Oryctolagus cuniculus: one gene and its partners. Each later gene encodes a partner of the first gene's protein in a complex. Links are inferred from orthologs where the notes say so. Each region holds a gene or a part of one and is shown on either strand. Other genes may lie near its edges.

Evidence for each region.
Region 2: SMARCA4 (region 1) and ARID1B share a complex: the UniProt entries of both Homo sapiens proteins name them as parts of the neuron-specific chromatin remodeling complex. The link is inferred for Oryctolagus cuniculus from reciprocal best matches to the Homo sapiens genes SMARCA4 and ARID1B.
Region 3: SMARCA4 (region 1) and ARID2 share a complex: the UniProt entries of both Homo sapiens proteins name them as parts of the SWI/SNF-B (PBAF) chromatin remodeling complex. The link is inferred for Oryctolagus cuniculus from reciprocal best matches to the Homo sapiens genes SMARCA4 and ARID2.
Region 4: SMARCA4 (region 1) and DPF1 share a complex: the UniProt entries of both Homo sapiens proteins name them as parts of the neuron-specific chromatin remodeling complex. The link is inferred for Oryctolagus cuniculus from reciprocal best matches to the Homo sapiens genes SMARCA4 and DPF1.
Region 5: SMARCA4 (region 1) and DPF3 share a complex: the UniProt entries of both Homo sapiens proteins name them as parts of the BAF complex. The link is inferred for Oryctolagus cuniculus from reciprocal best matches to the Homo sapiens genes SMARCA4 and DPF3.
Region 6: SMARCA4 (region 1) and SMARCB1 share a complex: the UniProt entries of both Homo sapiens proteins name them as parts of the BAF complex. The link is inferred for Oryctolagus cuniculus from reciprocal best matches to the Homo sapiens genes SMARCA4 and SMARCB1.
Region 7: SMARCA4 (region 1) and SMARCD3 share a complex: the UniProt entries of both Homo sapiens proteins name them as parts of the BAF complex. The link is inferred for Oryctolagus cuniculus from reciprocal best matches to the Homo sapiens genes SMARCA4 and SMARCD3.

The regions. Positions count from the first base shown.
Region 1 is NC_091447.1:66,652,800-66,656,299, forward strand, and holds part of SMARCA4 (transcription activator BRG1), read right to left. Parts: intron 3,335-3,500; coding exon 3,208-3,334; intron 1,508-3,207; coding exon 1,334-1,507; intron 874-1,333; coding exon 700-873; intron 1-699. UniProt on the Homo sapiens protein: ATPase involved in transcriptional activation and repression of select genes by chromatin remodeling (alteration of DNA-nucleosome topology).
Region 2 is NC_091436.1:10,839,573-10,843,695, forward strand, and holds the start of ARID1B (AT-rich interactive domain-containing protein 1B), read right to left. Parts: upstream 2,801-4,123; 5' UTR 2,140-2,800; coding exon 337-2,139; intron 1-336. UniProt on the Homo sapiens protein: Involved in transcriptional activation and repression of select genes by chromatin remodeling (alteration of DNA-nucleosome topology).
Region 3 is NC_091440.1:136,658,280-136,660,838, reverse strand, and holds the end of ARID2 (AT-rich interactive domain-containing protein 2), read right to left. Parts: intron 2,059-2,559; coding exon 1,914-2,058; 3' UTR 501-1,913; downstream 1-500. UniProt on the Homo sapiens protein: Involved in transcriptional activation and repression of select genes by chromatin remodeling (alteration of DNA-nucleosome topology). Required for the stability of the SWI/SNF chromatin remodeling complex SWI/SNF-B (PBAF).
Region 4 is NC_091449.1:16,351,900-16,356,127, reverse strand, and holds the start of DPF1 (zinc finger protein neuro-d4), read right to left. Parts: upstream 2,801-4,228; 5' UTR 2,797-2,800; coding exon 2,654-2,796; intron 1-2,653. UniProt on the Homo sapiens protein: May have an important role in developing neurons by participating in regulation of cell survival, possibly as a neurospecific transcription factor. Belongs to the neuron-specific chromatin remodeling complex (nBAF complex).
Region 5 is NC_091451.1:19,026,746-19,030,688, reverse strand, and holds the start of DPF3 (zinc finger protein DPF3), read left to right. Parts: upstream 1-1,143; 5' UTR 1,144-2,614; coding exon 2,615-2,646; intron 2,647-3,943. UniProt on the Homo sapiens protein: Belongs to the neuron-specific chromatin remodeling complex (nBAF complex).
Region 6 is NC_091452.1:30,760,124-30,763,623, reverse strand, and holds part of SMARCB1 (SWI/SNF-related matrix-associated actin-dependent regulator of chromatin subfamily B member 1), read right to left. Parts: intron 1,946-3,500; coding exon 1,755-1,945; intron 1-1,754.
Region 7 is NC_091438.1:22,584,119-22,587,618, reverse strand, and holds part of SMARCD3 (SWI/SNF-related matrix-associated actin-dependent regulator of chromatin subfamily D member 3), read right to left. Parts: coding exon 3,318-3,500; intron 1,619-3,317; coding exon 1,576-1,618; intron 449-1,575; coding exon 326-448; intron 211-325; coding exon 52-210; intron 1-51. UniProt on the Homo sapiens protein: Involved in transcriptional activation and repression of select genes by chromatin remodeling (alteration of DNA-nucleosome topology).

The DNA of each region.
Region 1 (3,500 bases):
CACCTGAGGGCCCTGCAAGGAGCCACCGCAAAGGCCCCAAGTCCCGCCTTCTCCGTCCATGAGACACACCCCCAAATCCAGCCCTTCCTCCAGCTGGTCCACACGACAGCACTGCCACACCTCGGCAGGGGCGCCCTCGGGCCCAGAGCCCTCCTGGCAGGCCGTGGGGATCCACCTGCCCCACACGAGGTGCTCGGACCTCCCATCTCGGGGGCCTGGGACCCGAGGCACTTGCTGGACGCCACATGCAGCATGCTGCCACCCTCCTGTCCCCAGACCGTGCACCCTGGGTCACGCCTGCCCTGCAGGCCTCTGGTGGTGAGGCCTCCTGTCCACCCCACGCCCTTGCCTGAGTCCTGCCCTTCCCTGCACTCATCTTCACATAAAACCCCCTCCTGTGTTTCACCCGGGCTATCTGAAGCCCAGGAGGGCAGGGGCCGAGTTCCGTCTCCTGCAGCGCCCTCTTCCCCCACGGCCCAACAGACTACTGGGGGGTCTCCACTGCTCCCCCTGTGCCCCCTGACCCAATGTGCAGGGCAGCCGACGGGCCTGGGTCCCGTGGCCCCTTCGTGGTCAGGTCTGAGGCAGGGGTCTCTGCCCCCAACCCACGCCTGTTTTCCCCTTTGCCCACCTCTCACCCAGCCCCTACTGGACCGGGCGCGAGCCAGCTGAGCGGGCCGGGCTGGGGCCGGGACGCACCATGAGCCTGCGCATGCGCTCCTTCTCGATCCGCTCGTTCTCCTTCTTCTGCTCCCGCTCCGTGTTGGCGTGGTACGTGGCCACCGCCTTGGTGAGCTTCTGGATCTTGCCCGTGACGGATCTGTGGTACTCCTTGAAGTCCTTGGCGTGCTGCAGGATGCTGTTGAGGTACTCCTGTGGGTGACGCCAAGGGGGCGCTGACCGCTCGGGGGACGCCACTGGCAAGGGCGCTCCCCCGAGGAGGACCACGCGCTCATCGAGACGTAAGCGCAGCGAGACTGTGCCGCTGCCTGCTAGGAGGCCCGGCCCCGTGTCCTGACAAAACCCAGTGCATATTGTAAGAATATGTCCAAGATCAGTCCAGAAAACCTGGAGGGCCAAGAACGCCTGTTCTAGCGGGATTTTTTTTTTTAAATTCTGAGAGCTGTAAAATATGCTATGTGTGCCCAAACAGGGGAACGGGGGACAGGCTGAGATGGAATACAAGGTTGACATCTGCCGTGTTTCAGCAGTACCTAAACACACACCAACGTGCGGTAATTTTTACCAACACAAAGCTAACTCGGCAGACAGGGGCGACCGTCACAGCCGAGACGAGGCCGCGCGCGGCGCGGGGGCGCCGGCCGGGACGCACCTGGTGCTTCTGGCGCCGCTTGCGCTCCTGCTCGATCTTCTGCTGCTTCTCCAGCTTCTCGGTGATGCGCGCCTCGCGCAGGGACTGGCGCTTGCTGCGCTTGTAGGCCTTGGCGTTCAGCGCCGTCTCCAGCGCTGTGTCCCTCCGCATGCACACCACCACCTCCTGGCGCAGCTTCGGGAGGAACAGGAGACGCTGGCACCGTGCACGCCACACCACGCCACGCCACGCCACGCCGGTGCTGCCGCCTCCGAGACCAACAGCCCCACCCCGCCGGCTCACTCCCAGAACGACGGCACCTGAGACCGGACTGTGAGTCCGTCACTGATGCCCCTCGGGGCCCGCATCAGCAGGACGTGGGAGAAGGAACCCCAGCACCCGACGTGGGAGGTGCTGGGCTCAACGCCCATTCCGGGTCATCTCTAAAAAGATGCTCAGGCACCGATCTGTATGCAGAGAGCGGATGGCAGGAGCCACCGGCAGGCGGCACGGAGCAATGACCATCTGGAGCCCAGCAGAGGGCCCTGGCGTGCCTCAAGCCTGCAGTGGGCCTCCCACAACACACAGAGGTCCTTACGGACCCCCAGAAGACAGCACCCCTTGGAGAGGGGCCGCTCGAGTCTCATCCCCCACCGGGCAACCGTGCCAGAGGGAAGCCCCCGCTTAGGGAAAGCCTCAAGGGCAACCCCTCCCACCACCCACTGGGCCGCAGGGCAGGCACAGGGGACCAACAGCGCCCTTGCGTGAGTGTGAGTGTGCGCACACGTGCGAATGGCCAGGGAGCAGCGCCCCAGCGCCCAGGGAGCAGCGCCCCAGCGCCCAGGGAGCAGCGGCCCAGCACTCAGGGAGCAGCCCCCAGCACTCAGGGAGCAGCCCCAGCACTCAGGGAGCAGCCCCAGCCCCCAGGGAGCAGCCCCAGCCCCCAGGGAGCAGCCCCCAGCCCCCAGGGAGCAGCCCCGGCCCCCAGGGAGCAGCCCCGGCCCCCAGGGAGCAGCACCCAGCACTCAGGGAGCAGCACCCCAGCACTCAGGGAGCAGCCCCAGCACTCAGGGAGCAGCACCCAGCACTCAGGGAGCAGCCCCCAGCCCCCAGGGAGCAGCACCCAGCACCCAGGGAGCAGCACCCAGCACTCAGGGAGCAGCACCCCAGCCCTCAGGGAGCAGCCCCAGCCCCCAGGGAGCAGCCCCAGCACTCAGGGAGCAGCCCCAGCGCTCAGGGAGCAGCACCCCAGCGCCCAGGGAGCAGCCCCAGCCCCCAGGGAGCAGCCCCAGCCCCCAGGGAGCAGCCCCAGCACTCAGGGAGCAGCCCCCCAGCACTCAGGGAGCAGCCCCGGCCCCCAGGGAGCAGCCCCAGCACTCAGGGAGCAGCCCCAGCGCTCAGGGAGCAGCACCCCAGCCCTCAGGGAGCAGCCCCCAGCCCCCAGGGAGCAGCCCCAGCCCCCAGGGAGCAGCCCCAGCGCTCAGGGAGCAGCCCCAGCCCCCAGGGAGCAGCCCCAGCCCCCAGGGAGCAGCCCCAGCGCTCAGGGAGCAGCACCCCAGCCCTCAGGGAGCAGCCCCCAGCCCCCAGGGAGCAGCCCCAGCCCCCAGGGAGCAGCCCCAGTGCTCAGGGAGCAGCCCCAGCCCCCAGGGAGCAGCCCCAGCCCCCAGGGAGCAGCACCCCAGCCCTCAGGGAGCAGCCCCAGCCCCCAGGGAGCAGCCCCAGCCCCCAGGGAGCAGCCCCAGTGCTCAGGGAGCAGCCCCAGCCCCCAGGGAGCAGCCCCCAGCACTCAGGGAGCAGCCCCAGCACTCAGGGAGCAGCCCCAGCCCCCAGGGAGCAGCCCCAGCACTCAGGGAGCAGCCCCAGCCCCCAGGGAGCAGCCCCAGCACTCAGCCCACCTGTCTCTGGAAGTTCAGCAGCCTGAGGGCCTTGAGCTCAATGGTCGCTTTGGTTCGCAGATCCCCGGCCAAGGACCCGGGGAGGTTTTCAAGTTCCTGGATTCGGTGTGCGATGCGAGCCTGCAGCCTGGGGCGGGGAGAGGCAGTGAGAAGGCGGCCCCTCTGCAGGGCCCTGCCTAGGAAGCCCTGGGCAGCCTCCCAAGGACGCATCCTAGGCCGCAGCCCTGAGCCCTGGAGTCTCAGCAGTGGGAGCCAACCTCCGGTCAGGAGGCCCGAGGCCCCGCCCCCGCAGG
Region 2 (4,123 bases), on another chromosome or scaffold:
GGGCGCTGTCTCGGAATCCCGTCACCACCCCAGCGCCTCGGGAGAGCCGGCGGGGCGAGGCTGCGGGTCCACCGGGCACCGGAGCGCCCGGCCCGGCCCGCGGCCGCGGGCGAAGCCCTGCGCGGCCCGCACGGCGCGGCCCGGACTCGGCGGGCGGACGCTCGCGCGCCCGACCTCGGCGGGAGGCGGCCGCCCGCGAAGATGGCCCTGGGCGCCGCGCCCCCGCCGCCCCCCAACCAGAAAACTGGGGAAAAGTACGCGGCAAAGAAAGAAACTCGGGCTCGCGGCGCGGCGAGGCCGCCGGGCGGAAGCAGGCCCGGCCGGCGCGGGGGTTACCTGGGATCTGCCCATGGTCGGTCCGGGGGTGCCGGGACTCATCGCCGGGTGACTCCTTTGTTGCGCGGCCGCCCAGGCCGGGCTGGCAGCGGCATACTGGGCGCCCATGTCCTTGCCCAAGCCCATGCCCGCGGCCGCCTGCTGGCCGCCCGCCGCCGCCCCCGCCGCCGCCGCCGCCTGGGACTGGGGCTGCGACGGCGGCGGCGGCGGCGCGCTGGGGCTGCTGTAGTCGGGGTAGCTGCCGCCGTAGCTCCGCATCATGGGGCTGGGCGAGGTGAGCAGCTGGTTGAGGGTCGGGGTGGCCCCCGACGGGTGCTGGTTCTGCCCGGCGAAGCGCTGGAAGCCCCCCGCCGCCGCGCCGGCGGCCGCCTTGCTGAGGCTCGCGGCCCCGCCGCCCCCGGGGCCCATCATCATGCCGCCGCCCTGCTGCCGGGGGGAGCTCAGCACCCCGTACCCCGAGGACGAGCCCCCATAGCTGCCGCCGCCGCCGCCGCCGCCTCCTGCTGCTGCTGCTGCCGCCGCCGCGGCCGCCGCCGCCACAGCTCCCGCTCCTGCTCCTGCTCCTGCTCCTGCTCCTCCTCCTCCTCCTCCTCCTCCGCTGCCTCCTCCTCCTCCTCCGCCTCCGCCGCCGCCGCCGCCGCCGCCCGCGCCGGGCCGGCTGTAGCCCGGATAATGGTTGTACTGGCTGTTGGGGTACCCTTCGTGGGAGTTCTGCAGGGGGTCCATGCTGCTGGGGGCCCCGGCGGCGGCTGAGGCGGAATGCATCATCCCCATCCCGGGGCTTTGTTGTCCGCCATGTTGATCAAAGCAAGGCCCAGCGCGGCCGCCGGGGCCGCCGCTAGCAGGGGCAGCGCTGCCATAGTAATTATTAAACTCCGAGACGGCCGCCTGGCCGCCGCCCCCGGGCACGGCGGCCGGCGACTGCTGCGCGCCCAGGGCGCCCAGGCCCGGGTGCTCGTAGCGGCCGCCCGCCGGCTCCCCCATCTTGGGCGGCGCGTCGTCCTCGTCGCCCGGCTTGCTCAGCAGCGGCTGGCCCGGGGGGTCGGCCTGGCTGCCCGCGGCACTGTCCTTGGCGCCTCCATGTTGCGGCTGCTCCATGTCGGGGCCCGGCTGAGGCGCGCCGCCGCCGCCGCCCGCGCCGCCCAGGCTGTTGTTGGAAATGGGATGTTGTTGCTGCTGCTGCTGCTGCTGCTGTTGCTGCTGCTGCTGGAACTGGTTTAGCTGCTGCTGTAGTGCGTGGTGGTGGTGGTGATGGTGGTGGTGGTGGTGGAGGTGGGCATGGTGGTCGTGGTGGTGGGCATGGTGGTGGTGGTGGTGGTGGGGCGGTGCGGCGGGGGCCTCGCCAACGGCTTTCAGTTTGTGGTTGGGGAGCAGCCCCGTCTCCATGGCCGAGCCCGGGCCCGACGAGGAGGAAGAGGAGGACGCCGCCGCCGCCGCCGCCGCGGAGGAGGAGGAGGAGGAGGACAGCGCGGCGGCGCTTCCAGCCTCCTTGAGAGCCGCCTCCGAGCCGCCGCTCTTGGCGCTGCTAGTGCTGGCGGCGGCGGCCGGGGCCGCGGCGCTCGCGTTATGGGCCATGTTCAGCTCGTGACGGGGGTGCAGGGGGTGGTGGTGCACATTATTCAGGCCGCCGCCGCCGCCGCCCCCCAGCATGGGTCCCGGTGCCGCCGGTGCCGCCGCCGCGCCGCGCGCCCCCGCCTCCAGGTCCCGGGCCCCGGGCGCCGGCCGCGGCCCGGGGGGCGCCCGCCGCTCGCCGCTGCCCGCCCGCGCCCGCGCCGCCGCCGCCGCTGCTGCCCGCGCGGCCATGATCGCCGCGGCGTGGCGAGGCCGGGCGGGCGGCGGGGGGAGACAATACCCCCACTTTTCAGGCCGCGGCCCCTCCTGCGCGCATCCACGCGGCCCGCCGGGAAGCCGCCGGCCCCCTCCCCCTCCGCAGGCCCCGCCGGAGCGCCGGGCCCGGGGCACGCCTTACGGTCTGGGCCTGCTCCCGCTGTGTGCTTTCACGGTGAAAGTTTTTAGTTCAGGTTTAAACGAAACTTTTCTCTTTTCCTCTCTAACCCGGATATGGGTAAATACACGACCGGCTGAGCCTATCGGGCCCAGCATGGCACGAGAAGGAGCCGAGCGAGCTGGAGCAACTATTATCCCACTTCTCTCTGATTGCTCCTGTGCACTCGCAAAACGCGGACTGGACTCGGCGCGGGCCGCAGCCGCCCGCCCGTGCCGGCGCAGCCTCGGGGGCCGGGGGCCGGGGGCCGGGGGCCGCGCGCAGGCCCGGGCCAAGGCCGGCTGGGCAGCCGCTCGGAGCGCGGCGGCGAGAGGCGGCCGGAGCTGCACTTTCCCCTCGTGCCTCCGTCTCCTTGCCAACCGGGCGTTCGCGTGTTTGTTTTCGCGTCTAAAAGGAACGCTCCAAAGGTGGAAAAACGAGTCTGTGGCGAGCAGACAAAAGAGGGAAGAAGGGCTGGGGCACGAAGTTGTCCGTGGGCCTCCGAGGTGACGAGGAGCCCACGGAGGAAAGAAAATATTTGGGCGATCTGCAAAAGCGCTGGCTCTCACAGGAGTTATGTAATTTTCCAGAACGTTGGCCTCCCTGCCTTGATTCCTGGCCATCGGCGTGATTCCCACAACTTCTTCCAACTGCAGAATTCAGGAAGGGCTTTCGGGGAGGGTTAGCCGCGTTCGAAGAGCACAGAGCCCTGTACACAGCAGGTACTCAATGGATGCTCACCGATGCCGGCACCTGCCCCAGAGATAATGGCTACGTGGCTGTTTTTAAGGCACCCTAGATTCCTGTGCAAGGAGTCTGTGGGGAGAGCTCGCACCCCTGTGTCCTCTCTGTCTCGGGCACACGCAGCCGAGGGTCACGCGGCACACAGCTTTCCCACGCAGATGCCACTATTTGTCCAAAGTCGAATCCCCCCCCCTCCGGTGATGTAGTAGCACCTTCCAGCGTTATTTCAGAGGGTAACGGGCACAGAGAACCCTCTTGAGAAAGTTTCTTTCCAAGTAACATGAAACAAAACTCAATAGATGTTAAATGTAATATAAATACAAGATCAATAACTATAAAACAGTCCAATCTAATGTAAAAGCAGAAATAGTACACAGTTGTGTATTGCAACAGTTTTTATTATGAGTTTACCACCTAGTATCATTATGAGTATCTTTAGTAACAGTACTTCTTAAGAAGTACTCTCCAGCTCTCCAGGGGTCACACTCCCAGAAATGAGATACACGATTTTGGTAGAGTATAGTTTTCCAAAATCATTTCATTCCTCAGCTTTCCATAGCAAGCATTTCGGCTTGTTTCGGATGCACTAGTTATGTATGCTTGACCAAGTGTAAGCATGTTACCTGACTAGAGACAGATAGCCAGACGGAGCTACTGGTGACTGGTGGGGGCGGGGAGCCAGGCGCACACCCAAGGGTCGTTATTTGGAGAAGAAACAACAAATTGCCATTCTGTCCAAACAACTGGAAAACGGGTAAGAGACAATAACAGAACTGTAAGAGGAAGTCATGCCAAATCATCAGTTTGTGCCAAGAGAACACTACATCTCTTTTAGTGGGCCTTTTGACATTTTTTTCCCTGGCTTTTCTCTATATATTCAAATACATACTAATTATACGTATTAACCACATATGTTGCATTTTAAAGTTTTCATATGCAAATATAAATGTTTTATGTATCTATATACATGTATTCTAAAATCAATCTTGTTTATGCTTCAGACATTGATAATCAAACTATATGCAAATAATCATACAGTGCTTTTATTCAGATTGATAA
Region 3 (2,559 bases), on another chromosome or scaffold:
GAGGTTTCTCAAAGCGATCATTTTAGAACTGGCAGGGTGCAGTGCCAGGAACCCCCTTCAGGGAGAAATCAGAGTATTCGATATCAATCGAATCCAAAATTTAAAAATTTGCATGTCCTTTCACTCAAAGAATCTGCCCCCATACTCAGTTTGAAGATTTGTTTTATACTGTGGTTCTGAAGAAACACAGTATCAATAAGATTTCAGGCAAGTGTGCAGTATCCAATAATTTATAAAAAGCGCATATTCAGCACTAACGGCACCACTCAGGCTATTATTTGGGTTTGCTTTGCATTACAGGACACAGAAATCAACCTCAGGGCCATCTCCCATGTATTTCATGCAAATGTGTCATGTAGAGGACCTCCCTCCTCTGCTCCCTAACACTCAACAGAAACAATAGGTAGGTGACCGTTTGGGCCTCGCCTTCAGCTCAACTTAGGATTCTTTATAGGTTTTTAAAAAATAGCTTAGCATACTCAGAAATGAAGGACTCAAGAAAATGTTCAGTCTTTTATTTAAAAACTATAAACAGTCACCAAAGTAAATAAAGCCATTCTATAACAGAAACTGTTAGGTCTATATTTTTTTTAACTGCACATCCTAAGGACACAGCAGAAATCGTGGTTGGGAGGCCTTCCACATTTTTGGATGCTAATAGAACAGGCAATAGGCAGTTATAAATGGGTACATTTCACGCTGGGAGGGAGAAAGACAATTTGGGGAAGTGAGCAGTATCTGAGCAGGAATGTGGTACAGTATTAAGAATGGAGAATTAGACAATAAACCCCACCTCTAGGAAGATAGAAAAGGAGTGGAGAAAGTGTACTGCACAGAATGCATTTACAGCACAGGAGAGCGCCTGTATAAAATCCCATGTATTCAAACCAATTTACAAATACAAAAATTTCTGTCCAAGCTCTGAGCTTAAACATGACAAACGCTTACAGTGGATACATGTTAGGGAAAAACCAAAAAATACCTTCAAAGAGTTTTTCTTCTACAAAAATGACATGAGATATATTACTCCATACTCTTTTCAGCCAGCAAAATGAGTTCTACAAGGTGTATAATACAAAAAGAAAAAAAAATCACAGTCCCACAAAACTGTCTGACTTTACAGCATCAGTACCTTGCAGAAGTATTTACAAAGATTGAAGAACATTCGTCCACTGCGCAGAATATATCACAATTACTTACAATTGACAGAAGTCTAGAAAACGTGAGAACCTATCGGTAATGCTTCTAGGACACCACAGAATGTATCTCCAGTGGCTGCAGCGGCATGAAAGGTGTTCCTTCTATTCACAAATATTTACAAGATCTATTCAGACTGGTAAATTTTTATGATAATAAATAAGTGAAAATATATTGGCTCAAGTAAGAAAACCAAGCTACTGATTTCTAAACAAAACACACAATCCATAGCTAGATATTGGTGGCCCCCTCTGAGACCAGGGGGTATAAGTGTGCTGAAACTTTTTAATTATTCAAACCAGCTTAAACTGTTTAGTAAATATAAAAATGTGCTCCTTTTTGGATATAGATAAAAATATTTAATGCTTCTATTTCATCTGCTCGTGAAGATTTTACAAGATCCCATGTCTACTCCAATGTGGATGGTACTGAATTCTGATCATACCGGTTCCCATCAGGACTTCAGGTCTGAGAGGCATCCTGCAGATGAGCTGATTGACAATCCCACAGCAGTTTTTTTCTTTTTAGATTTTTTTCAAACAGAGAACAAAAGGGATTCGCTCAAAGATCAGAATACGAACTTCCTCTCAACATCAAGGGAGGAGATAAAATAATTCATTCCATGGTCTCTGTTCCATTAAGACTTGGTGCTTTCTTCAGTAACAGTGTGTGAAATGTATCTGACTTGCAGTCCCCACTCGAAGTGGAATTCTGTTTCACTGCAGCATTTCTGAGTCTTGTTCTTGTTCTTTGCTCTGAACTGTGAAGTTCAGTTCATAAAGGCATTTGGCAAGGGTGGAGGAAGCTTCCATGTTACTTATAGCAAGTACTGACAGGTTGTTTTCATGTCTCTTTAGTAATCTGGAAAGAAATACAGAAAGTCATCAGTCTCAAGGTAACAGTGAAGATTCCTGATCCAAAGTTTTACGAGTTTAGGAGCTAGAACAGAAACTGCTTAGCTGCACACCCAGGCCACATCAGTGCAGCATAAAGGAAGTGGCCAGGGCCCCTCAGCGTCTTCCCCGTGCTGCCTTCCCATCTAAGGAAGCCTGCACGGCATCCCTGTCTTCATTCATGCTTTCGGAAGATTCATGTGACAGAGAACAGCTGGAGAGGAATAAAATCAAAGTTCACACCACGGGCCGAGTTTCACAGGATGAAAAGTGACTCCATCTAGCTTGACTTACTCCATTACAGCAGCTGCTTTCTAAAAATGCAGAACCACAGATGTTCCCGGTCCCCGAATCGCAACACTCACGTGCTTTGTCACAGAGATGAGAGATTACAGAAGTGAGTGTGTGACCTTGCGAAGAAGGAGTGACACTGAGCTCACACACGTTGTGAAAAGCAGACAGGATTGGC
Region 4 (4,228 bases), on another chromosome or scaffold:
CAGGCACAGCTCTGTCCTGAGTTAATCCTATTTCGTACCTGTTTTTCAGATGAGGAGTCAGGTGGTCACAGGGAAGTGACCTTACATGCCCTCAGCCCCTGGGGACTGCTGGGCCAGGCCACTAGGGAAGGATTCATGCACCTGGACTTTGATCCCTCACCTCCTGGGTCACACACACACACACACACATGCACACACACACACACTCAATCGACCCTAAGGAATGCCTAGAAGGTGAGCTGACACACTAAGGCACATTCTCCCGTTTCTCTCTCTCTCTGTCTCTCTCTCCACACACACACACACACACACACGCACACGCAAACGCATCCCCCCTTCAAGAGCACCCTAGTTTGAGAGGCTGAGGGAAATAAACACGCCTGCACACCCCTTGTCCACTAGGGGGCGCTCCAGCGCACAGACGGGGCGGGCCAGTCTTCACCTCCTTTGTCAATTGGTCCCCTCCTCCTTGAGCGAGATCCACTCAAGGCCTCCGAAACTCGTGGTCACCTACACACACACACACTTCTAGTCCCTCCATAAACTCTCCTCCATCTAAGCCAGGTAGGGCCTTGACCCGCCCCTCCACCAGCCGCCGACGGGAGGGGTCGGGTGTCTGACTCACATCTGCTCAGAGGACTAAGTGGGACGCGCTGGCACCCCAAGCTCACTCTGGCCTCCAGGCTCCTTTAGTGGCCACCAGACACCTGACCCACCATGAGCCCTGCCCCCCAGACCCAGGCTCAGCACTCTTGCTCCACACACCTGCAGCCACAGCCTGACCAGCCGCCTGCGGCCCCGACACAGCACACTCAGTTTGACCCAGTGTGGCCTGGGTGTAGAGACCAGGTCACCTCCCAGAGGTCCTGGCCCACCAGCGGGATCTGAGCCCACAGACCCAGGCTGGCCCTTGCCTGACCTCAGTCACCCTCAGACCCCTCCCCTCCCACGAGCTCCCAGCCCTAAGTGGGTGCTGGCCCCAGGAGAAATCGTTACTGACCAGTACTGATGAACCAGTGCTGACTGGACTAATCATCACTGCGTTTAGCCAGGGTCAGGCTCCGCACCGATGGCTTCCCAGTGATCACCGTGTTTAAGCCTCGCTAGGCCTCACTCCCGGGAGTTAAGAACCGCTGTAATCCCCAGTTCACAGATGGTAACACTGAGGCGCGTGGGGGTGGGGGAGAATTAATGGCTTGAGCTGGGTTCTGAACTCCCCAGGGGAAAGGCACTGGCCTGGCCCCTGTGGCTGACCTTGGCCTCCAGGCACCTGCAAGGAGTGGCACCCTATTCCTAGTATTCCTCCGAGGGCCTGAGCCAGGGCCAGAGACAGGGCCCTGAGGGCCTGTGGATCCCATGACTGCGCAGGAGCCCCATCCCTGCCTGCCAGTTTGGGGGTGTCCCTCTTGGGTCTGTCTGTGTGCATGCCTTGGGGCAGGAGAGGAACAAGCGGTTGCCACCCCCACGCACCACCTCGCACTGACTCTGCTCGCACAGCAGGTGCGTGCTGCCAAAGTCCCTGCCCCTGCACAAACCCTGCTCGGCCACCTGGCACCCCCAACCCGGAAACCAGGGGCCAACAACTGGAGGGCCAGTGGTCCAGCCACCATACAGAGTCCTCATTAGGAGGGGTGCACTCGCCCACCCCCAGCTCTCCGCGCTCAAGGTCAAGGCAGCCAGCGCTGGGGCTTGGGGGCAGGGTGGGGGAGGTAGCCCCAGCCCCTTTGTGCGGCGCCGCCAGGCGCTCGCCCTCCGCCTCCTCCACCAGGCCCGGGAGGAGGGGGAGGGGAGAGAGGGCGGGAGCGGCCGCACGCCTGCCACTCAGAGCTGCTGTCACCGCCTGGGAAAGGGGGTGGGGGGCGCCAGGACCCAGGAGTCCGGGATCCCGAGGAGGGAACCAGAGAGAGGTGGAGAGGGCGAGGGACAGCAGGCGCCAGGCTCGGACCCGGGCGTCCTTATCCCAAGCCACGGGGCCGAGAGGAAGCCGGAGGGAGGCGGGCGTGGAGAAGGCAGGGGTTCCCCCGAGACGGAGGCGCAGCCCTCCCGAGGGGAGCCGAGACGCTCGGGCTGGAGGTGCACGGGCCGGGAGAGAAGGGAAGCCGCGGCCCCAGGCGATCGTGGCGTCGGGGCTTCTGGGTGCCGGGGACCCGGGGAGCAAAGGGGACTCGACCGGGGGCCCCCGACATCCGAGCCCCCACCCCGAGGCCAGCAGCGCCGGGGTCGCGGAGAAGGCGGAGGAGGTGTAGAGAAAGATGCTCGGGCGAGGAGCGAGGGGGTGGTGGGAACCCCGGAGACTCAGGTCCGGACTTGGGCGTTCGCGCGTCCAGCCCGCTCCGGGGCGGGCCCGCCGCCCCCAGAGACACCGCGCAGCAGATGGAGGCGGGGAGGGAAGCCCCCACCCCCAGCCCGCGCCACATTCCTTCACTGACAGCGACAAAGAAGAGGCGCCCCCGCGACCCAGGAGGGGCTCCCGTGCCCAGCCCCCGGAGGGGCGGCAAAGGGTGACAGTCCTCAGAGGCACGGGGGCGCGTGGGGGGACCCCCATTCCACTACCATCCGCGCGCTGGGTCCCCCTCCCCAGCCCCAGGGAGGGCGGAGGAAGGGCTGGGGTGCGGGGACTCCGGACCCGGGTCGGGACAGCGGGGACACTCACGACTTGAGCGGGTTCTGAATGGCGGTAGCCATGGCCCGCTCGGCTGGGCCGCCTCCGGCCCGGGGCGCCGCTGCCGCCGCGCGCGGGCCCAGCCCGGCCTGCGCCGCCCGCTCTGCCGCCCAGCGCGCTACGATTTCATTCATTCTTGGGGCTGCGGCGCGAGCGGAGCGGGGCGGGCCGGGGGCGGGGCTCGGCCAATCCCCGCGCCTCCCGGCGCACGACGGGACGTGGAGTCTAGGGGCGCGCGGCGGCGCCCGAGGGCGCCCCTGCCCGGACTACACGTCCCAGGGGGCGTCAGGAGGACCGCGCGCCCATTGGCTGCCGGGGATACAGGGCGGGGCGGGGCTCCTCCCGGAGCATCCTCTCCCCCTCCCCGGGGGGTGCTCTGTTCCCAGCCCGGGCTCTCCATTCCCGGGTGGTTCTGAGTCTCCCTGGGGTCTGTGGATGTCCCCAGGATCTGCGGCGGATTCTTGTCTGAGTCTACTTATCGGGGCGTCTCTTCGGGGTAAGCCAGTCTCTGACAACATGGGGGCTCATCCAACGCCTTTGTTCGTGTATTGACTACATGTGCCAGGCACTGGGAATGCAGCAGCGACCAAAGTCAAGTCGTTACTCTCAGGAAGCTGACGTTCTAGTGGAGAAAGACGATTTTAAAATAATAATAATAAAGGGATCTTTTCAGAAAATGCTGAGTGCTATAACAGAATTAAAATAGATTAGTTTGGGGGCTGGCGCTGTGGTGTAGCAGGTAAAGCCACCGCCTGCAGTGCCGGCATCCCATATGGGCGCCGGTTCAAGTCCCGGCTGCTCCACTCCTGTCCAGCTCTCGGCTACGGCCTGGGATAGCAGTAGAAGATGGCCCAAGTCCTTGGGTCCCAGCACCCACGTGGGAGACCCGGAAGAAGCTCCTGGCTCCTGGCTTCGGATCGGCGCAGCTCCAGCCATTGCAGCCATCTGGGGAGTAAACCAGTGGATGGAAGACCTCTCTCTCTCTGTCTCTGCCTCTCTATAACTCTGCTTTTCAAATAAATAAATAAATCTTCTTTAAAAAAAATAGTTTGGTTTGGAGGAGTGGCTGCACAGAGCGGGTGACTTTTGAGTTGAGCCCTGAAAAGTTGCCAGCCACGCATGACAAGTGGAAGAGCACAGAGGCCCTGAGGTGGGCACAGGTGCTTTGTGCAGAGCTGAGTAGGAAGACGTAGCTGGGGCGGGGGGGGGGAGGACCCACCTCCTGAAGGACCATGTGGGCAGCTGATTCTCTCCTAAGTGCAATCAATCATCCCCTACTCTCCTCTTCTTTCTCACATGCGCACGCACACACACACACCCAAGCCCACCAGCAAATCCTGACCTCTCTACAATTCACAGGGCAGGTCCAGCAACCCCCCATCCCTGTCCAGCATCGTCCCTGCATGGATCATGGTGGCGGCTCCATCGCTGCTCTCCCACTGCCCCCCAGTCTGCTCCCACGGCGGCAGACAGCTGTCTAAAACACAGACGCTCAGGCTGAAATCTCCCCTGGCTGCTTTCACCTTCGGAGCCACGCGGAGTCCTCACTGTGCCTTCAAAGCCCTC
Region 5 (3,943 bases), on another chromosome or scaffold:
CAAAGGGGCAGTGGCTATTTTGGATCTGCCCTGCCCTGGCATGCAGTTGCCTAAGCTCTTCAGTCAAGATGAAAGGGATGGGGTGAGATGGGGTGATTTAAATATGTGTCTCTATAGAGCTTTGGGAATGTGATTTTAAAAAATGTCTTGAAATTGTGATCAGCAAGAGGATTTTTTTTTGAAGTTTATGTGGTTATAATATTATGCCTCACTGAAGCATTCTTGTTTATTCTAATCCCATCAAAGTTGTTCAGTTGCTCATTTTTTTCTTGAGATAATTCATTTAAAAAGCAATACTCTATGGACAGTCTCACTTCCTGTAGTGTCCGCTTACTCAGATTGCATGCATTCCCTCTGCCATCAGGACGAGTCACCTCTCCATGGACTCCACCTGGACGAGGCTCCATTATTACAGCTGGGGAGACTGAGGCCTTCATGCTAAGGAAACTCACCCATGGTAACCCAGCTGGTAAGTGGGGGACTCCACAGCCTGCACCCCTAACCGTACATAAGGCTGCTCCATTTTAAAATTGAACATTTTCCAAAACTGTTCATGAACCCTGTCTCCTTTAAACACATTCCTAAGCCCCTTGGCTTTTGAACATCTGGCCAAAAAAAAAAAAAAAGTTCTTTTGTCTATGAAATAAAATCCAAAGTTAAAGTAATAACAGCTCACTGATGTTGCAGAATTGATAAAAGGTAGCTTTGTAATAATTCTGCTTGTTCAGAACTCACGTGTGTATTGACAGAGTTAAAATGATATTCCAGTGGATTACAAAAAGTCAAGGCTATCTTTTTTTTTAAATTACTATCTTTAATGTATTATTTTTCAGTCCAATCAGTACAAGATGTAACATAAGTAAGTTCTGGATTCAAATCTCTGACAGCGAAGACAGATTGATCTGCCATTTTCCAGTGGGACTACACTGGCTTCTGCTCTGGGCTTTGACAGTTAACCCTATGTCCACTCTCTCATACGCAGTATGAATTTGTTTTTCCCTCCCTCTCCCATTGGATCGTAAACCTTGTCGGGAGCAGGCGCCACATTCCTCACTTCCCTTACCAGACTGCGTGCATTAAAATAAGGCCGTTGTCTGCTAATGGTTGCGTTTTTGATATCTCAAAGTCGTTGGGGGAAGTTCTGCCTGATAACTTGAAACTCGCGCTTCCGGTGTGAGAAAACAGTGCTGGCCTGTTCAGATGCCCGGGCTCATCTCGGCCCAAGGACGCGCTTTGGGTCCAGCCCCTCGCGCAGGGAGTGCCTGCGCTTAGCACCGAAGCTGGTTTGTGCAGACGGCCGTCTGGGCCAGGGCGCTGCTGCGCCGCCGGCCAGGCACGGGGAAGGGGTCCCCTGACCAACACCCCGACTCAGCCGCCGGCGGCTCATCCGCAGCCCTGCTGGGGTATGGAGTTGAGCTTGGCAAGTTCTGGGACGTCTTACTGATGTTCGGAGATCATAGGTGAGCCGCCCCTCGCCCCCACCCCGCGACCTCGGCCGCTGGACCGGACTCGGCCGCGTGGGGGTGGGGGGCTGGCGGTCCGCAGAGCCCGGGGGCCGGTCCCGCGCCCCGCCTGCACTCCAGCCTCCCGCCTCCGTCGGGACCCGGCCAGGACGGGACTTCTTGCTGACTCCGAGCGGACGCCTCTGGCCACAGCGGATTACTCATTAGCAAATTCTTTTCGCCTTCTATCTAAGTAGTGAAAGGTGACGCCGGAGTCGCGAGCGCCGCTCCCGGAAAGGGACTCGGACAACACCCGGCCCGCGACGTGTGCCTCGTCCCCGGCTTCCCGAGGGGCGGAGAGCCGGGGCGTCCAGCTGGGGCCCCCAAGCCTCCGGCGGGCGCGGATACGGGTCTCGCCGCTCTGGGAGTTTCTGGGGGCGGGGGCGCGGCGCAGGGTGACCCCCGAGCCTTACGTAACGGAAAGCCCTGGCTGGAGCCCGCAGCGAGGCTGACATGGAGACACTCCAGGGACAGGGCAGCTGCTGTCCGGGAGTCGCCAGCAGCGGCGGCGGCGGTTCCAAGAGACCGGGAGAGGAAGGCGGCCGAGATAAAGAAAACACTTGGGGAACCAGAACGTGCCCAAGCCGCAGCACCCGGAGCGCTTAGCGAGCGGCTGGACGCGTGCGGTGATTTGCTGGGCGTGGGCCACGGCTGCCCTCCAACTTTGCCCCGGAACGCGGGGATGGACCCCGCGGGGGCTGAAGAACGGCGGTGTGCGCGGCCGATGAATGGGAGCCGCTGGGCTGCTGGCAATGTGTAAATATTTCCACCCTGGAGCGCAAACTCTCTGCAGTTATTTTAGGAAAGTAGGGACCCGAAGGAAACTCGCCCGCTCTCCCGGAGCGTCTCCTCTCGGCACCGTCCCGGCGGGAGCGGCTCGCGCGGTACTGCCCCTTTAAGACCTGCTAGCTCTCGGGCTCTACAAAAGGGAGTGACCTCTGGGCTTTGACAGCTCCCCTAATAACTACCACCGCGCAGGCCCCGCCCACCCGGCGGCCAGCCGCGCCGATTGGCCGGCGGGCCGGTATCCCGTGCTCTGATTGGCCTGCCGCTTCCCCTGAGCGAACCTTTAGAACTCTGAGACAGACAATATTCTGTTACATTGTAGCAAAATGGCGACTGTCATTCACAACCCCCTGAAAGCGTAAGTACGACTCAAAAATGTACATATTCCGCGTGGTTTCAATATGAAAAAAAAGGCGCCTTCCGCGCGCCCAGCGCGGCCGGTGCACGGCGCGGGCAGGCGCCTCCCGCTGCGGCCGCGGCTTCTCTCTTTTCTTTCGGCTCTTACTTCTTCATCTTCTCTATCCCCCCCCACCCCCGCCAGCGCGCAGAAATGTCAGGAGATGCAATTAACAAGAAGAAAATTGTTACATTTGCGTTCCGCTTAATTGGAGGATCCGGAGAGAGACTGGCAGCTAGAGGCTCCGGCGGCCGGCGAGCCGGCGCTCGCGCGCGCGCGGCGGCCGGGGGGTCGCGGGCAGCCCGGGGACGGCGCGGTCCCCCGAGCGCCCAGCGCGGCCGGGCTGCGAGCGCGGCGCTGGGGGCGGCCGGGCCGGGGGCGAGCGGCGGACCGGGGCCGCCTCCATGCGCTCGGCGGAGCCCGGCGCCTCCGGAGCCCGCGGCCCCCGCCCCGCGGCTCTCGGCCAGCCGCGGCGGCTCGGGAGTTTGCAGGGTGCCCGCCGCCTTCCGATCGCCGGAGGGGAGTTTGTGCAAACCTTCCGGAGTTGAGAGAGCGCCGCGGGGGCGCAGCGGGGCCTGGGAGCCCCCGGGGCCGGGGAGGCCCCCGGCGGGGACTGCGCTCCGGGCGGCCGCCGGACCGTGTTCGGTTGCCCCTGGCTGGGGCCCGTTCCCGACTCCGGTCCATTCGGGGGGTGGGTCCGGGGGCAGGGACGCCGCGGGTCTCCTGAAAGGTGCTGTCGCCTGCTCTGGGGAGCTGCCGAAGCGGGCGGAGGGGCGGCCTGGGGCTCCCGGCTCTAGCGAGGGGCAGGTGCCTGCGGCTGCCGCGCGACACTTTGAGCGGACGCCCGGATCCGGGACGGCGGGGGCCGGGCTGGGCAAGCCCCCGCGGAGGCCAGTCCTCAGGTCCGACCGCCTGCTTTCCTCCTCCTCCTCCTATTCGTCCTGGCTTCCTTCCTTCCTTCCTTCCAGTCCGTGGAATTGTTAAGCCGCCAAGTCCGCTCGCGACCGCAGAGCCGGGGGCGGCGGCCTTGGAAACTAGTGTCGCTGGGCGAGGGGTGCCCGGGGCAGGGGCTGGGGTCGGCGCCGCGCTCCTCCGCCCGGGACCTCCCCGCGCTGCGGGGGGCCGCCGGCCAGAGGCAGGTGAGGTGCTGGTGGGTGGGGGACGCGGAGTGCGTGGTGGGGGTTGACCCTGGTTCTCTGAACTCCGCGTATGCGCGCCCACGCCCCCCCCCTTCCCGGCCCCCGCCTCCTCGATTGCC
Region 6 (3,500 bases), on another chromosome or scaffold:
AGTTTCCTGGCTGCCCAGACACAGCACACAGAACAGGCTGGGCCCTGTGCTTGGTTGACTGCGAGGACCCAGGCCAGCCCTCCTGAGGCGAGAGGAGGCACTGGGAGCACCTTGCAGGCCCACGGGCAGGTCCCTGTCCTGCCTGGCTGTGATGCAGGGCACGTGCACTCGCCCTGGGCCCCAAGAGGGTGGCCTGGCCTTTTAGGCCAAGGATTTGAAACCTGCAAACTCAGCACTGGAGACCGCAGAGGGACAGGAGTCTGTGCTGCTTCCAGCCCCCGCAGCTGGAATTCATTAAATGGTCACTGAGATAAAGGATGGGCCTGACTGTAAGTCCCAACCTGCCACCACCAGGGACTCCCAAGGGAGCCTGCTGTGGAGCCACTCTGCGAAGAGCAGATGGACAGGAGCTTGGCAAGGAATTTAGGCCAATGGCTCGGGTCGCCCGGGGGCCACAGCAGAAAGTAGCTGAGTGCTGGTGGACGCCAGGACCACCTGTCCCGAGTGCTGACTCAGCTGCCAAATATAGGCCAGGCCATCCCCAGTCACGAGTGTCAGGAAGGGAGGCAGCTCACCCTGTCCCTGCCTCCAGTGTCAGGCTGGATGCACAGTGGCCATGTGACCAGAACACTCCAGCTCAGGGGCCTGTGGGTCAGGGGAGGCCTTCCGATCCCAGGGAGCTTGGGATCAAGAGGCCGCGGGGCCTTTGCCTCCTGAGTCCTGACTGTGGCGGGGCAGCTGCTGCAGACCCAGGAGAAGGTCGCCTCTCACAGCATCTAGCACCAGGCAGAGGAGGTGCTTGCTGGGCACTGACGTCACTCCCAGGGCCCGCGTGACGTCGCCGCCTCCAGGACCTCAGAGCCAGCCCAGACTCTGACCAGCTGCACCCATAGGTGGGCTTCCTCAGCTCGTTGGGCTGGCCCCTGGTGAAGCAGAACCACTCGCCCGCACAGCTGCAGGAGGGGTCAGTGCAGGTGACGGATGTGACGGATGTGCCCAGGCACTGCGCCCCGAGGGGCTCAGCTGCTTTCCAGGCCCGGGGCCTAGCATGGGGTGGTGGGTGTGCCTCCGTTCCTGCTCCCTCACTCAGACTTACGGGAAGCCCTGAGACAGACATCTGGAAAACAGCTGAGATGAGCCCCTGTGTTGTCGGATGGTGCCCCTGAGGAGTCAACTGAGCAGACTCAACTCCAAGATCCCGTTCTGACGTTCGTCCCCCACCCCAGGCACTCCCAACAAGAAAGGCGCTCTGAGCCAGGGGTCCATGCCACAGGCCCCTCCCTGCTCCTGCAGCCCTGGAGGAGGACAAAAACCACTCTCATTCCCCACTCACTGAGCTCCCTGGGATCGGAAGGCCTCCCCTGACCCACAGGCCCCTGAGCTGGAGTGTTCTGGTCACATGGCCACTGTGCATCCAGCCTGACACTGGAGGCAGGGACAGGGTGAGCTGCCTCCCTTCCTGACACTCGTGACTGGGGATGGCCTGGCCTGTATTTGGCAGCTCAGAGTTAGCACTTGGGACAGGGGCTGCAAGGGGTGGGAACTTCAAGGCCACACTGACTGGGCACCGAGTCTGCACCCTCAGCACTTCCCATCCCTGACCTCTGTGGCTGTGCCGGGGGAGCCCTGCCAAGACTAGAGTCCGCCTACACTGTGAATCGAGGCAAAGTCCCAAGGTGTCAGCGCTTCTGGAGAAGTCTTTCCCCAAAACGGTTTTGCAGGAGAGGGAGAGAGAAGCTTGTGCCCGATCCTACCTGAAGGCGTAGGTCTTCTGATGCCAGCTCAGCTGTCCCCGGATGCTGTATGCGATGGTGGTGACAAACTCCCCGCCTAGCCCCAGCTCCGAGCACAGCTTCAGGGCAAACTTCTCTGGCGAGTTCTCCTTCTCCGACATGTCCCACTCAAACTGGTCCACCAGGGAGATGTTTCCCACGTGGATGTTCAGCTATGGCAGGGACCAGAAGAGAAGTCAGAGCAGGCAGCACCGCCCCCAGCCCAGGGAGGTGGCTGGGAGGTGTGACAGACCACGCTGGAGCCCCAGACCCAGGGTGGAGCCTACCCACAACTCAAAGAGTTGAGAACTGGAGCTGATCCTTGCCCTTCCAACTTTCTATCTGCAAACGGCTGACCCCATAAACCTGCTGACTGCTGTGAGGGGCTCTAGGTAAGAGCTGGGCAGTCATGCTTGGGGAGGCCCTGAGGGTACCTGGGTCCACCTCATCTCCATCCCCATCCCCCATGCTGGCTGGGGCCTTCTTTCCTGCTGCTTGCCACCGTTGTGTGACTTTAACAGGCAGGGCTCAGTTCAAGTGTCCCTCACCAGAGACATCCATGAACCCCTATCTTGGTCCACTGTCTACGTCCCTCTCAAAATCATTTCACCAAGCATGCTCCCAGATGTACCCCCACCGTGTGCCAACCTGGCCAGGTGACAGGCCAGACCCAAGGGGGAGAGCAGCATGCAAGTAGACCCCTGTGGGCAGGTGACAGAGAGGCCCAGGCGCTGCATGTACACCTGGGGAATACCTGGGAAGTGGGTCCGTGGGAAGCTGGCACCCAGGAGCTCCCACCCACACCCATGTCCCTTGATTCCCCACTCCCTGGTCAGTTGTGCCTGTTCTGAAACTGGTCATCACTGGATCACGCAGGAGGGACCCCTTGGGACTGACTTCACTCCCTCAGCATCACATCTGTGAGCTCCTCCCCTGCTGTCCAGTGTTCTGCTGGGTGAGCAGGTCATGGAGTACCTGCCCACTCACTCTTGTCTCTAGCAAGACGAAGATCACGGTGGCAGGTGGGCAGCCTCATGGTGAACTAGCCACTGCTCTCATAGCCCAACCCTCCTGGGGACTTCTGCTGCCCTTCTGAGAAGTCAAAGCATCCAACTCCTGCCGGCATCCAGGAAGTCCTGTGCGGCTGAGCCTTTTGCATCAGTTTCCGCTTACCGGAATGTTCTTCCCTTCACCTGGGCATATGCAGCCTCTTTTCAGTCTCCTGGCTGTGGCTGGGGTGCCAAGTCCTGAGACTTCTGCTCCCCACCAGCCCTCTCCCCACTGTCCACCTGTTTTCTTCACAGATCTTAGTCCTTTGTCTACTTCTTTCCCATCTCAAACCGGGCATCCTGAGCATAGCCCCAGGGCCTTTGTTTCAGGCCACAATGAATGGCGCCCACAGCTCCAGGGCAGAAGAGGAGGCTGAGGGGCAGAGGAATGGTGTCTGTGCAGGGCACACAGCTGGGCACGGCGGCCTGCAGCAGACTCCCAAGGCCCTCCTGTCCCTGTGCACACTCACACTTGGGGATTAAGCTGGGTTTTTGGAACAGACTCAGAGATGCTACCCCGTCCCACCTGGAACCATATGCCAGGCCAACCACGTGGGTGCTGGGCCCAGGAAGAACATGCAGTAGCAGGCAGCCCCTAGGAACACTCCAGGCAGGACCCAACAGGCCCACGGTGTGTGGCCAATCCCCAGCAGCCATCCCTGCCCAGGCTTGCGGGCTC
Region 7 (3,500 bases), on another chromosome or scaffold:
AAACCCTCAGTGCAAACATCTACAGCAGTCCTCGGCTGAGCCCGTACCCACCCCAGGACACCTGGAGAGACCTGGGCCAGGACGTACATCATCCAGGAGCTTCCCCTCTACCCGCAGCTCCCAGGAGGCAATGCTGCCGTCGGAATCCTCCGCATCGGGCTTTGCAGGGTTAAACGTGTTGGAGATATAGAGGCGCAGCTTCCGCTTTTGCTGTGGAAACAGAATGTCGTGCCAAGCGGAGGCTATGTGCCCCAGCCCTGAGGCCACCCTGCTGCCCCATCCTGGCGCGGTGCTTGGAGCCCTCCTACCCCCCAAACTAAGGCACCTTCATGGGCCTCTTCAGAGCCTCTTGGATGTCCACCCGCTTCCGCATGATGGTTTGATCCAGTTTCCTCTCGAACGCTAGGAGGTCCATGTAAGCCTGGGACTCGGGGACCAGCTCCCGAATCTGGAAGAGGAAGAGGAGAAGACAGGGATCAGGGGCTCGGCCAATCTTGCACCGTGTGTTGTGTGATCCCGGGGTAACACATGGAGGGAAGTTGTCTGGTTTCAGGACATGGACTTGGGAGAGTGCGAATTAGACCTCTCCCCTAGGTTCCATTATCCCCAAGCAGGGGCCTTGATATGTGGGATAGAAAAATGCCCCCGGGGCCAGTGCTGTGGTGTAGTGAGTTAAAGCCCTGGCCTACAGTGCCAACATCCCATATGGGCGCTGGTTCGAGTCCCAGTTGCTCCACTTCCCACTCAGCTTTCTGCTATGGCCTGGGAAAGCAGTAGAAGATGGCCCAAGTCCTTGGGCCCCTGCACCTGTGGGAGGGACCTGGAGGAAGCTCCTGGCTCCTGGCTTCGGATCAGCTCAACTCTGGCCATTGTGGCCATTTGGGGAGTGAATCAGCAGATGGGAAAACCTCTCTCTCTCTCTCTCTCTAATAAATAAAATAAACCTAAAAAAAAAAAAAAAAAGAAAAATGCCTCACCCCCTAGTGAGACCCAGGTATGTCCCCCCCCGGGAGGAGGGGGCTACTTTGGAGCCCAGCAGGCACGAGCCCCTAACCTTTTCTCATCTTGTCTTTCCACTAGGCATTCGCTTCCTTTGGGAGACAGCTGGGGGACACTGTTGCTCGCCTCCACCCTGGCATTAACTAGCCCCCCATGTGGTGTCTTAAGCAAGTTACCCCATACCCAGCTCAGCCAGGATCCCTTCTTCTGGTCACCTTTTTTTCCCTGCACTCCATCTGGTAGCCTCTGATCCCCCAGCTTCAGTCTTCTCTTTGTCACACGCCTTTCATGTCTTCCTTCCACTGGGTTTGAGCCCCCTGAACCTCAGGCCCAGTGTTCTATACCCCTCCACCCCAGGGCTTCGTTCCTCCCCCTCTGCCCTACCTCCTCCCTCAGCCCCCACCCCAAGCCGCACTTCTTAATGAGCTTTTGAAACAAAAAGTGAAAGTGACTGTGCCGCTGAGGCTCTGCTCCTGAAGGGGGAGGGGAGGCAGCACCGGATTGGGAGGGGGGGAAAGGAGGGTGGAGCAGCCAAGGCTGGGGGCCAGGCTGGGGGCTGCTGTGAAAGGCACTCACCCTTTGAGGGAGGATTTTGTCAGCCATCTTCCTCCTTTTGGCACTGTACATTTTTTAAAGAAAAAAACAGGTTACCATGGTGACAGATCTGGGAGTAAGGAGGCCACCTGCTAAATTATCCCGACATCTCCGCCTGCCTGGCTGGGGTTCCCACAGCCGGCTTGTCTGCCCGCCCGAGGGCGGCAGCAGTGGTGTGTGGAGCTGGTGCTCTGGCCTCTCTTGGGAAGTGGGGTGATCCATGCTTTCTCTGGCCTGGGAGAGGTGGGGGTGGGGACGGGGAAGGTGCTGCCCAAACATGGGAGCAGCAGAAATGTTCCAGAAAACCTGGGCAGCAGGGAGGGAAGCTGGATTTGGAGGACCTTGGCTTTCTGCAAAGCAGGGTGTGCATGTCCAGGGTGGCCTGAGCTCAGAGGGAGGGGGAGAGATGGACCCCCTACCTCTGGAACTGAGGACTTGTATCCCTGTCACCTTGGGCTTTGAAGGGGACACTGATGGGCAGGGGGTGGCTTGGGCCCTTGGCCCACCAGCCACCAGGGCAAAGGACACACCACACTCATTAGGGACCCACAGAGTATGCAGTTCTGTGGGGGCATGACTTCAACCTGGGGTCATACTAACTGGTCCTCTGTGGACAGGTAGCGCTGGGGTCTGCACTCTCCTTGACCTGCCCAGCTGCTTCTGACTCCCAAAAGCACCCCCCCCCCCCAAAACCTTGGCGGGTCAGGAGATTCAAATGCAGCCAAGAGAACGGCTCCATACTGCCCCCACGTGGTAATCTCAACCACTGCCCCTTTCCTATCCAGAAAGCCATTAGGCAAGGGACTTTCATTAAAGGTCTCATCTGTTTTAAACAAATGATCTATGTGAAACTCTCCATTTAGAAAAGATAAATCATGGAATTATTATCTAATGTACAACATGGTAATTCAATCTGCAGAAGAATTCATGAGATTCCCATAAACGGTGAATTCTCCTTGATGTATATAAATAATATTTAATAATGAGGAAAAATTGACATTACACCTTTTATAGAAACCCATCTGTCGTGCAAAAGGAAGCATGTGCATTTGGCTAAATACTGAAACCTAGAGGGGTATCACTCTTGCCAGGAGCCAGCAGGAACTTTTGGGGTGCTACCAGCTGCCCAGGCAAGCAGGTGTGCTGGCCCTGGTGGCTTGGGGCAGACCCGGTCCAGAAAACAGAACGGCAACTCTGAAGAGTCTTTTTGGATGTCTACAAATTACCTGGGACGAGCCGCCCCCAGAGCAGCTCCCCAGGCCCCACCCCCCACGGCTAGGGATTCCGACTGAGATCTGGAGCGCTTTGAGACAGCCAGCCAGGGGACTGCTGGAAGGTGCCCCCCGGGGGAACTACACTGTGGGAAGCCCGGCTCTAAGGCTCTGCCCTCAGCCCTACTGTCAGCCCCGCCCTACCCCACCAGACCGGAGCATCACCCGGAGCCTAAGGGGTGGAGAGGTGCACTGAGCAGAAGACAAGAAGGGCGCGGGGCGCGTGCAGGGAAGGGCCACTGGCTGCCGATGGCCGCAGCCAGTCTCGACCGTGGGCACACAAAAGAACCAGACCAGTGTCCCCTAAGCCCAGCTCCTCGGAGGAGGACTTGCTCCTTGCTTAGCGTTTTTCCTCGCCTCTTCCAATCCCCGCCACTCTCCCACCTGGTTCCCGCGGGTCCTGACAGCCCCCCTTGCACGCCCCCTTCGCGCGCCCCCCCCCCCCCCACTCACCTGCGACTCCGCGCGGGGGCGGTGGGCACCGGTTGGCCTTGGCTCTGGGCCTGGCTCTGCCCGGGCGGGGGCGCTGCTCGCTTGCGGGCGGGCTCCATGCCCGCGGGGGCCAGGCCGGGTCGCACGGCGGGGCTGCCCATGTACGGTGAGCCCGGGGGGCCCATGGGCGCCCCCTGGTGGGGC